3 linked regions of the Tamandua tetradactyla genome follow. The protein of the gene in region 2 purifies or fractionates together with the protein of the main gene of each other region. This does not show direct contact. Links are inferred from orthologs where the notes say so. Each region holds a gene or a part of one and is shown on either strand. Other genes may lie near its edges.

Evidence for each region.
Region 1: the proteins of NEDD1 (region 2) and C13H10orf88 purify together in Homo sapiens (co-immunoprecipitation; 3 studies listed by BioGRID and IntAct, counting the BioPlex papers as one, with this or other methods). This does not show direct contact. The link is inferred for Tamandua tetradactyla from reciprocal best matches to the Homo sapiens genes NEDD1 and C10orf88.
Region 3: the proteins of NEDD1 (region 2) and tubulin gamma-1 chain purify together in Homo sapiens (affinity purification with mass spectrometry; 5 studies listed by BioGRID and IntAct, with this or other methods). This does not show direct contact. The link is inferred for Tamandua tetradactyla from reciprocal best matches to the Homo sapiens genes NEDD1 and TUBG1.

The regions. Positions count from the first base shown.
Region 1 is NC_135339.1:85,541,162-85,544,908, reverse strand, and holds the start of C13H10orf88 (ATPase PAAT), read right to left. Parts: upstream 2,192-3,747; 5' UTR 2,109-2,191; coding exon 1,834-2,108; exon of another isoform or gene 1,829-1,833; intron 1,083-1,828; coding exon 879-1,082; intron 1-878. Other genes in the region: uncharacterized protein LOC143654403, read left to right, coding at 2,192-2,467. UniProt on the Homo sapiens protein: ATPase that regulates mitochondrial ABC transporters ABCB7, ABCB8/MITOSUR and ABCB10. Regulates mitochondrial ferric concentration and heme biosynthesis and plays a role in the maintenance of mitochondrial homeostasis and cell survival.
Region 2 is NC_135333.1:166,928,832-166,932,578, reverse strand, and holds the start of NEDD1 (protein NEDD1), read right to left. Parts: upstream 2,930-3,747; 5' UTR 1,212-2,929; coding exon 1,193-1,211; intron 1,100-1,192; coding exon 956-1,099; intron 1-955. UniProt on the Homo sapiens protein: Required for mitosis progression. Promotes the nucleation of microtubules from the spindle.
Region 3 is NC_135332.1:24,615,536-24,619,282, forward strand, and holds the start of tubulin gamma-1 chain, read right to left. Parts: upstream 2,529-3,747; 5' UTR 2,117-2,528; coding exon 2,068-2,116; intron 1,745-2,067; coding exon 1,632-1,744; intron 1,437-1,631; coding exon 1,269-1,436; intron 417-1,268; coding exon 348-416; intron 75-347; coding exon 1-74. Other genes in the region: RETREG3 (reticulophagy regulator 3), read left to right, coding at 2,537-2,775. UniProt on the Homo sapiens protein: Tubulin is the major constituent of microtubules, protein filaments consisting of alpha- and beta-tubulin heterodimers. Gamma-tubulin is a key component of the gamma-tubulin ring complex (gTuRC) which mediates microtubule nucleation.

The sequences.
Region 1 (3,747 bases), on a different chromosome or scaffold from region 2:
AGTGACTTTTTTTTTCTTTTGTGAAAAATAATGCATATACAAAATAGCAATAAATTTCAAAGCACATCACAACAATTAGTTGCAAAACAGATTTCAGAGTTTGGTATGAAACATTAAAAATATTACATTAAAAAAATATTTCTAGACCAACACTTAAATCCTGAGATTCATTTTGCCTAGTATGACATGAAGAGCTGGTGTTCCTTACTGAAGTGGCCTGGCTACAAACAACTTTGTCTGACACACACTACCACGTGTGAGAGAAATAAATGAGCTAATCTACATAAAATCATATACCACAACAGCATATCATAAAGATCAATAAATGTGGCTGTTATTTCCAATATGCCCAATATATAAAAGTTCATATTTCGAGTTATACTGAGACATATGCAACTTTATGAGACCAGAGAAATTATCAAATATAAGAGGCATAAATATGGATTAAATAGGCTGGTGTGATACAGTCTTGGACTCATGCCCCATTCATGATGGCCTTCCTACCAGAATATATGTTCAAAGTTTTAGACTGGCCAAGGGGATAATTTCTGGAAAACAATCCATTGTGAGCTTATAGAAAGATCCAAGAAGCAAAAATAAGTACTGCACTCTGGTCTAGACAGTTTCACTAACTAACAATGCCCCTCTACCCTGTCACGTCCCCTCTATTAGCTACAAATGGTCACATTTATAAAAATGGGAAGGCATATCTAGACTGTCTTTAAGCTACCTTAAATGTCTCATGTTCTTTGCCTGCTTATATGTTTTTATCTCCTTTCCCTAATTCTGACACTAATGTGAGAGAACCAATAACTACTGTAAAAGTTGAGGAAAACACACAAACTCAGAGGACACTTGTGCATGTGTCACTGACAAACCTGCTATCCAGGACAGTACAGATATCCCTGCCCCTACTGGTTCCACAGTACTCCTCTCCTGAATATACTTCCATATTTCTTGCTGAACTTAAAATGCCAATAGAAACGACTTCTTCACCGCCATTAGGATCACACTGCAGGTATAGGAAACAGGGGTTTTCCTCTTGGCTGTTCAGTTTCCTCTTCAAAATTACCAGATCCTGGCTAAAAAGAAAATTGTTAAGAATATTACACAGTATAGTTCTTTGAACACTTCTCATGAATATATACACAGTATAATTCTTTGAACCCTTCTCATAACCCCTGATTAGACCATTTTTCTTCCTCCTTCACTTTCATTTGCCCTTGAGGTCCAACCATCTTGCTGAGCACCTAACAAAGGCTCGATACAGAATTCACAAAGACATGGCTGCTTTAGACATCAGGGCTTTCCCCTCCTTTTTTCCCCTGACCATCTGCATTCTACTCAGGTCCCTCTAATTGCTGCCATTGCAACCTACCCTCGGCAAAGCAGCTGTAGGCAGAAACGAATAAAGGACAAAAGTCTTATCTTTTTCAAACTTACATTGGTGGAGATTCTCCCTAGCAGGGTCTTTTTCTTAAAGCCTGTTTTGGTGGAAGTGGTTTTTACCTGTTGGTTCATTTGGGGAGCGAGGGGATTCTGACTCTGACAGGAGCCCCGATGAGCCCTGGTGACCGAGTGTTCAGGTCACCTTCCCACCCACCCCCGACACCCTCCCTCCCCGCGTCCTGCGGGGACCCCGGCCCCGCCCCCGCGCGGACCCGGACCTCACTCCAGCCCGCAGCCCGCGGTTAGGCTTCCCCCTCGCGCGCTCCGTTCCCGGATCCCGGGCCCAGACCCTCAACCCCTCCCGGTCCCTCTGTCCCTTACGGCCCCTACAGGAGCGTGGCTGTCACAGGGCGCAGCTCCCCAGTCCCAGCCGGCCCGGCTTACCTCAGAGCAGGCGGCGCCAGCAGCTCTTCCCTATCGAAATCCGTGGGACCCAGGCCATCCCGGGTGAGAAGGAGGCTGCGGGGCAGGGCTCCGCACGGGGCCTCCCAGGAAGAGGCCAACATCGGGCGGCGAGTCAGTCTCCGGTCCTCCATCCCTGTCTCCATTTCGCCGCCTCCACCCCAGGCCAGATCCGGAACCTTTCTTTCAGTGCTTGAGTTTCCTGCAGTGCGCATTTGGACAGAGGAAGCAGAGCAACTTCCGGCTTGTTCTGCCATCGACCAAAGCACGCCGCCTGCCTCTGACTGGGAAGGATGGACAGGCGAGTGCGGATACCCAGCTACCGTAAACACGCACGCGCATGCCCCGCCGCTTCAGGAACGGCGTCAAGAGCGGCGAAGAGCGGCGAGCCGGCGCAGCGGCGACACCGAGGCCTGCTGGGGGGTCCTCTGCGCAGGCGCCGCGAAGGACGCGCGGGAACGTGGTCTCTTTATCCGGGTTGGCCTCGGAGCAGAGGACACACCTGTGCCCGGCGGTTGCTGACGGTTCGGCTCCCAGGACAGGATCAGTCTTGAGGCATGTGGCCTTGGCCCTCCACGCGGCCTGGAAGACTTCGTCCCCAGCTGCGTCCTTTTTTGTTCGTTTTCTTTCTTCCTTTTTTTTGTATGCTGTGCGGTGGGGGACACAGTTCATTCGTTTCCACGTGAATATCCCGTTATGGCAGCACCATTTGTTGACAAAAAAAAAATTTTTTTTGGAGTGCTTGGGCCGAATGGGACAGGGTCTCCGCATCTGCCATTATTTCTTGAGTGGATGGCAGAGACTTGTTCCAGTGTGCAGCCAGTAGGGCTGTGCCTCTGCTGCATTTGGGATGGCCACTGGCCGGCAGGCTACTGTTTTTGGGTTATTTTTACCTTTCACTTTCGCAGACACACTCTTTCCCCTCCTTATCCCCCCAGGGGGGTTGAGATTTGCCCCTAACACGGGGAAGATTTAGTGCCCTTGACTGGGCATGTTTTGCAGCGGTAGGTGGTCTGAAGAAGCTTTTACCTGGGCCTTTAGGATGTTACCAATTTAGCTTGAGGCATGAATGCCATAATAACTGAATGGAGGCAGGGGTGACCTCATACTACCAGCCTCTGGTGGTTTCTGGTAGCCAGAGTTGGACACTTTGCATAACAGAAATCAGAGAGTCGTGAAAGATGTGGGTGGAAAGGGGAGGGGCTGTGCTGCATTGTCCTCCTGCCATAGGGAAGCATGAACAGCAGCAGGGCCTGGAATTTCTGTGGATGTAGAGCTGAACCGAGATTGAAGGACCTTTTGCATGTTGGAAACGGAAAAGTGGAAATGAGATGGAACTTCCCAGATTGCTTGTGGACTAGGAAGGTAGATGACACCTGTTTCTGTTTGCTAAAGCTGCCAGAATGCAATATACCAGAAATGAATTGGCTTTTACAATGGGAATTTATCTTCTTAGAATTGACAGTTCTTAGGCCATGAAAATGTCCAGCTCAAGCCATCAATAGTATGATACCTGGACTCGGAAGAAAGGCTGCCGGTATCTGAGACACCTCTGTCACATGGGAAGACACTTGCTGGGCATTAGTTGGTCCTTTGTTCCTGGGTCTCGTTGCTTTCAACTTGAGTCCAGTGGCTTTCTCCTTGAGTGTTTGTGGGTCCTTAGCTCCTCTGGGGCTTTTCTTTCTCAGGCCTCTCAGTGTTTAACTCTTTAAGCTCTCTCTGGGTGTTTCTCTCTCAGCTCTTAGGGCTTTTTCTGTCCTTCATCATCTGTAAAGGACTCCAGTAAAGGATTAAGACCCACCTTGAATTGGGCCGGTCACATCTTAATTGAAGCAACCGAATCAAAAGGTCCCATCCACAATAGGAATGGATTTTAAAATCCCACAGGAATGGATT
Region 2 (3,747 bases):
TATACTGCAATGATCTATTAAAACGTAATTTAAAAAACAGTACATGAGTATATTGCAAGTTTCACAGAATAATGATAATTTCTAGCATACCAAGTATATACAACATTTTTATATAAAAAGTAATGAGTTGGGCGGGCCACGGTAGCTCAGCAGGCAAGAATGCTCGCCTGCCATGCCAGAAGACCTGGGTTTGATTCCCGGTGCCTGTCCATGTAAAAAAAAAAAAAAAAAACTAATGAGTCCTTGGTTTACAGCCGTGGTCCTCACAGGGGTGATTTTGCCTTTCAGGTGAACTACGGCAATGCCTGGAAACACTTGGGTTGCCATAACTGCAGACTACTGGGTAGAGGTCAGGGAAGCTTCTAAATATCCTACAGTGCACAGGAGAGCCCCTAAAACAAGGAATTAATCAGCCCAAAATGTCAACAGTGTCAAGATTAAGAAACCCTGGTTTCACTCCCCTTATTTATTTTATCCACACTTAGGAGTTCACTAAAACAGGGAGGGCATGAAAAGAAACATAAAAAAGCTTAGGAAAATTCAATGTGAACATGAATTTCACTCTATTTAAGAAATGAGGTTATTTTCATCACAGATTGGAGAGAAATAAATGAGTACATCAGCAAGATGGAATGCTGGACAACCTTTGCTTCTGCTTTATTTCTGTCTTTAATTTCCAGACTAGATACATAAATACCCATATGTAGATGCAAAAGTTCAGCCCAAAACCTTTTGGAAGTTTCCCCCACCATTACATTATTCCATTTGATTCATTAACAGTTGATAACATAATTAACTCTACAGTCTAGATTCTGGTACCTAAGGTGGCTTTTTTTTTTCAATGTAAGTGGGCTGAAATGTAAATGTTTTACAACGAAATCTAACAGAATAGATTCAAGAATGCACCTGATTGATGTACTGTATAGTAAACTGTTTATCTTTGGTAAAAGGATACTATTGCTGCTCCAACATATTGAGCTTACTCCATTTGGTGATGTGTGCGGGTTGAACTTATCCACCAAAGTCAGAGATGAAGCATCCCATATTTTAATATCATCTCCGGATGAAGCAAATCTGAGGTTTTCCTGCATGACTGCACCTACAAATAGTTTAAAACAACATATATTAAAAACAACTGAGAGGTGAGGGGCAGGGTGGGGAGTGGCTCTATTGTCCCCTATGGTGAACTCACCAAAAGCAGCTGGAATCATCTTTCTAAAACACGAACCAGATCACAGTCTCCTAACTGACCTGCCCAGTGACTCCCCATAGCAGTTATAATGACAGCCAACCTTTTTCACGGGCCCCAGGGTACCTGTTCTATCACTCTCCCCCAGGTTCACCAGGCTCCAGACACACCTTGTTTCTGTTTCATGTAACAAGCTGAAGCTGAGGTCGTTCTCACCTCAGTGTCTTTGCATTTGCTACCCTCTCTACCAGGAATGATCTTCCCAAAGATTTCTCATAGCCATCTCCTTATTCACACCTCAACTCATCTGCTGAGCTCAACTGTCTCCTCTTCAAAAAGGCCTTCCCTGACCAGGGCTACAGCAGCACCTGATCAGTAATCCTCTATCCCACTACTCCACGTCATTTTTTTCATGGCATTTATCGTTATCTGAGATTCTTACTTGTTCTCCTAATAATGTCTTCCTTCCCAGACTTGATTGAAACAAAGATCCCCAAGGGGAAGGACCTGCTTACTACTTGAGTCTTGAAATGTTCCTGACACACAGTAGGCACTCAACAAATAATTATTACTTAGGTAACTTCTCTTATTAAGAAAGAAAAAAAAAGGGGTAGAACAAACTGTAACACTCCTGGGGGCCAGAGTCCAGTCACTCCCGTTTTCCAAACAACTTGCAAATTCACAAATACAGTTAAAAGAGGTGCATTTACTTGGTCTACAATACCCTCACAAACACATAATCATAACAGTGATTTCCCAAACCGCAGACAGAAGGCAGGGGAGCTGCTCTAGGCAGACACTTTAAAGTGCAACAAGTTTAACAGAAGACAGGTCAGGAAAAACCACTCAAAAGTGCGAGGGAGAAAGGGGAAGGGTGGAGGTACAGAAATACACAGCACACCCGACATTCCGGGTAAGGAAGCATGAGAGCACAGCATAGCCTTACTGATGTCAGACAGATCCCCAAGTCATCAATAAAATATCACTCTTATGTTCACTATGCCCCATTTCAGAGAACAAACATCATACATTAAAGACTGCTTTCATTCTCAAGAGAAATTAAAAAACCTTAGGTGCTTATAAAAAAGGCTAACTTTTGTTAAACTAGAAACTGGCTCAGGTGACCACCACGCTGCACCCATCAGCTAGCGAGTGCTACTAAGGCAGTGGCCTGCTGACCTGCAGACACACAGGGTCTGGACTTCGTGCCTAAACAGGTGCCCTCTGGGTCCTCTACTCAAGGAACAGTCAAGTGCTGGCACGGGGATCTCTAGGCAAAGTAAACACAACTGAAAGATCTCTCTTCAGCAACTCTACACCATCCCTGTTGACCGTGGCGTAGTGGAACTGAGTCAGGACTCAGAAAACCCGGGTTCCAAGGGACCGGCCTGGAGCGAGGGGGCAGTGACCTGGGCGGTCACTTAAGGCCCGTTTCTTTCTGTGGAAGTAGGGCGCAGGCGGCCGGGCTTTACAGCCACCTGTCCACGAGGGTCCCACAGGGGACAGGCGACGACACATGGCCCCGGGCTGGGGGTGGCAGCTAAATGAAATCACCCCGCAATCCTCAAGCCGAACCAAAGTTCTCCAACTCTGACTCGCCAAAACCGCAGCTGACGCGCAGAACTACTCAGCTGCCGCTCCCCGGAACATGCACCCAGGTGGGTCGTAACCGGGAGGCTCGCGGGGGCCGGGCACACTTGAGGACAGGGCCAAACTTTGCGGAGACAGCGCGCTCCCCGGGGCTGCCCTCCTCCGCCCCACAGGGGACCCCAGCGACCTCCCGGACCGGAGCGGAGGTCACGCAGGCGGAGGCGAGGGACCCGGGTCGCGGCCCCGCACCCCGTCGGGCGCACTATCGCGTCCGCCGCGCCCCTGCCCGCCCGGCCACGGCCCGCAACCCTCGCCCGGCTGGGCGCGCGGCGTCCAGGGGCCTTCGACCCGCCGAGTGAGATGGCCGGAGGGCGGCGCGCACGCGGGGGGCAGCGGCCTGCGGACCCCGGGCCCGCCAGCGCCTCACCTCAACACGACGGCAGAGCCGGCACCGCGCCCGGCCCGCTCCTGCGCTGGGCTTCCGGCTCCCGCCTAGACGGTTAAACTTCAGCGGCCGGAAGTCCCGCCCCGCGGGCGGCAGGGGGCGGGCCCGCCCCTGGGCGAGGTCGGTGAGCCGGGTCGCGCGGGAAGCGCCTGGTTGGGCGGCGCCTGTGAGCCGCGGCCGCGCGCTCTGCCCCCCGGGCTGCGCCTTCCGCGCGCGTTTGTTCGCTGAGCGCCTGTTGCGCGCCAGGCGCCGCTGGACTTGCGTGCACAAGTGAGGGCTGGGTCTTGGGACTACAGAGGTCCAGTGAACGCTTGTGGAGCCTGAAGTTAATAAATAATTACATATAAGACATGACCCCCAAAATAACCTCTTAGTTATCCTGCTGCAAAACCCTTGACCTTTCTTTCACATCGTGCTGAGAGGTGTGGGACACTAAATACCACCTGATTCAAGTGCTTCTCTGCGTGGAAATAAGAGAAGCTGAACTGAGTTTCCAAGTACCCCCTCTAACAGGGCCTTTTTA
Region 3 (3,747 bases), on a different chromosome or scaffold from region 2:
TTCAGCCGTTCTAAGAGGTAGGAACCCAGGCCAGAGCCTGTCCCCCCAGCGATGGAATGACACAGCACAAAGCCCTGCATGGGGAAGGGGGAGTCAGTGCCCAGATCTCTAGAGGCAGGATTTCAAACACGGCCCATTCACCAATTTCTTAGACTCTTATCCCTCCACTTCCCTCCCCCCCCACCCTGCCCCCGCCACACACACAAGTTTAGGAGACTGTCCTATCTCCAGCAAGGCTCAGTGGTTTCTGCCTGGGGCAAAGGGTCTTGTGCCTAATAGGTGGCTCTTTAAGGATGTTGCTGAGCCTTCCCCACCTTGGTTCCCACCAACTTTCATGGACCACTCACCTCTAGACTGTCACTGCCATCTGCCTCCCTGTCTATGATGTCAAAAATGTCTTCATGGATCTTCTCTCCCTGTAGAGCCATGGAGTCAGAGCGGGACAGAATGAAAGGACAAGGACTCTGACCTCAGAATAACCACCCCCGATTTTCTTTACAGCACCCAAAGTTCTTTTCTAGAGAGCCACTGGTCCATTTTTCATTTATATTTAGAGGTAGTACAGTCCAGTGGTTACAAGCAGGCATTTCATATTGAGACTGCCTGGCTTCACATATTAGCTCTTTTTTTATTTATCTGAGTGACTCTGGGCAGGTTACTTAAACTCTCTATGCCTCAGTTTCCTCATTTGTAAATGAAAAGTGATAATAAAGGGCACTAGCCCTTTATTCAAAATCCTTGGGTCCAGTTATGTTTCAGAATGTAGAATATGTCAAATTTTAGGAAGGAGATATGATACATATGATATATACCTATAGTGGGGGTCTCAGGCATTTAATCAAATACATTAATATTTCTGCAATGAAAGGTCTGAGTATTCATGATATGTTGAATAGAATGCATAAATAACTTCATCTCCACTGAGCTTTAGGTTTGCTGCTAAATGAGTTATGAGATTTACTTTTGGTTTCAGATTTTTAGGACTCTGGAAAGGCAGACAAGAGACTGTGGACCTGTAGTATCTACCTCATAGTGCTGCTGGAAGTTTAAATAAGTTAATATAAGCACAGCTCTTAGATGCCTGGCACAGAGCACTAGCTAGAGTAGGCTTTTAAGATTACATAATTAACTTAAAAAGAACTGAACTTCCCTCAGCCATATCTATCACCCTCCAGCACACATACATCCCAGATCTAGTTCTGGGAAGTCACAGGGCTGTCACCACACAAGGAGAGAGTTGTGGGCCCTGCCAAGGAATAGTAAATGACCTGGGAGAATCCACTGGCCCAGTTGTTGCCTGCTCCTCCACCATGCTCCGACAGGTAGATGTTCTCTGGGTTGTAGAGCTTGGCGTAGGGGGAGTTGAGGATGGAGTGGATCACCCGGGGCTCCAGGTCCAGCAGCACGGCCCGCGGGATGTAGTGCTCATCATCTGCCTGACCAGGGGAGTCCAGGCCGGGACTCAGTCAGCTGGGGCCTGCCCAGTGCTCCCACCGCCCAACCCTGGCTCCTGCCTGCCCTCCCTCCTCAAGCCCTGGCCCTTCTGCCAGCCGGTTTCCAGATCCTAGGCCAGTGCCCTTCCCTTCAGGACCCCTGAACCACGGCGGCCCTGGCCAAGTCGCTGGGGGCACCTGGTAGAAAAAGACGTCCTTGCGGTCAGTGCCTTCGGTGGCGAACTCCTCCACGATGCCCTCGGGGCTGATACCATGCTCCGCGCACAGCTGTTTCCAGAACTCGAACCCAACTGGGGAGAGGGGCATGGGGTGTCGGAAAGAGCCTGTGGGTCTAGGCAGGTTCCAGTTAAGAGCTGGAGGACTGGGCGTCTGAGTCAAGGATATTAAGTCAAGTCTCAGGATTCGCCCGTGTCTGAGATATGGGCTGTGGGTGCTGTATAAGAGCAACTGAACAAGGAGGGCCCCTCGGGGTTGGGCAACTGGACACCAGGTCAGGGACGCCCCGCATTTTGGAGAACGACGATTTTGGGAAGGGGGGACTGAGTCTAGGATCCCATAGTGAGATCCTAAAATCTAAGAACCCGGCTGGTGGAGGGGCCGAAGGTTCGCTCACTCTGATTGCCGCATTGGCCCAATTGCAGGGTGATGATTTCCCTCGGCATCGTTCCTCAAGTACCGGCGTTGTAGCCGCTATCGCCAGCGACACCTCCACTCGCCAGCCCGCTGGCTCCAAGACGCAGGCGCCAAATAACCATTCCCCCGCCCAACCTCCCCGTTCCCGCCCCATGAACTTTCTGCGCTCCAATGAGAACTGAGTTCTGCAGCTAGCTCTTCCTTATTCCTACGGCTTCAGCAATGCAGACTACGCGTGCGCGGCTCTGAATCGGGCTCTGAGAACTTTGGCATTGAGGGCGTCGCTTGACGCAGCGTCCTTCCTTTCCTCTGGATGGTCGCGTACTTGAGGCTTTGCGCAAGCGCTGTGGAGGGAAGCGGCTTCTCCCGCCGAATAGCGCGACTGCGCAGTTGATGTTATTGTGACTGTCGGGCCGTGTGGCCCCGGATGTTGTGGCTGCCTGGGGCAGATGGCGGAGGTTGAGGGGGTGGCCGCTGCCCCAGGCCCAGCTTCGGGGCCGAATTTCAGGGGCCGTCGCACTATGTCAGGCTCTCGGGAGCGGGACCAGCAGGTTGAAGCGGCGCAGCAGGCGCTGGTGGAAGTGCTGGGGCCTTACGAGCCTTTGCTGAGCCGGGTACAGGCAGCCCTGGTGTGGGAACGACCAGCCCGGAGTGCCCTGTGGTGCCTGGGGCTGAACGCAGCTTTTTGGTGAGAAAATTGGAAACTCTCCGAATCGCTTATTCGCCAGGTTTCTTTAGAGCTCTCCCTCTCGTCTCCCGTTTTCTTTTTCCTGTACCTAATTTTGCCTCACCTTCTTTCATCTTTTACCGCCTCCGGTTTCGGCACCCCAGTTCTCCCCTGGGCCTTCCAGCTATCTTCTCTCTTTTTTTTCCCACCTGCTCCCGCCGCGTTGTCCCGGACATTTGGCAGGACTTTTGATGACATCTTGAGCCGTTCACGGTGGTCGACAGCTCCTCTTTTTAGCTAGGAAAAGCTGTGTCCCCTTAAGGCCATCACGTCTTTTGTTTGCTCAAGTGCGGTTTTAAGACTGTCTTCAAAGGTTTTGGTAATTATTGTTGGAGTAGAGGAGTATCCATAGGTGGGATAAAAAGCAAGTTTGAGCGATCTGAATTAGCATTAGATTTGCCTTCTCTCAGGGGAATTTGTGAAGTCAGAGCGTCAATAAGAGCCTCCAAAGCTGCAACTTGTAAAAAAAATTACAAGCTTTTAAAAAACAGTTATGAAATAATGATTGTAAGATTTCACCCGTTTCAAAGCCGCTTAAAACTGCAACTCTTCCCTATGCATCTTTGGCCACGGATCGTAGGCAAGGAAATTGAGGTTGTCTGATAGTGTGTATGAGTTTCCCTGAGCTGGAAAAGTGGCACTATAAAAATGCTTCAAGACTCTCTGTATGTGTCATGCATGCTCCGTGAAAATGTAACTGCCGTTGTCACTTGTTATCACCTAAAATGAGTTTAGGATTAAATAGGTTCTTTCAAGAATAGTTTGTATTCATAACTAAGAAAATATTATTGGTCAAATTTAAATGGATTGCAGGAGCTTCTACATGTGAATAAGACTATTCTGGATTATCCTTAAACAAAACAACGTTTGTGTGTGTGTGTTTTCCCTTAAAAATAACTTTCCTCTCAAAAGTCTTGCTTTTAAAACCAAAAC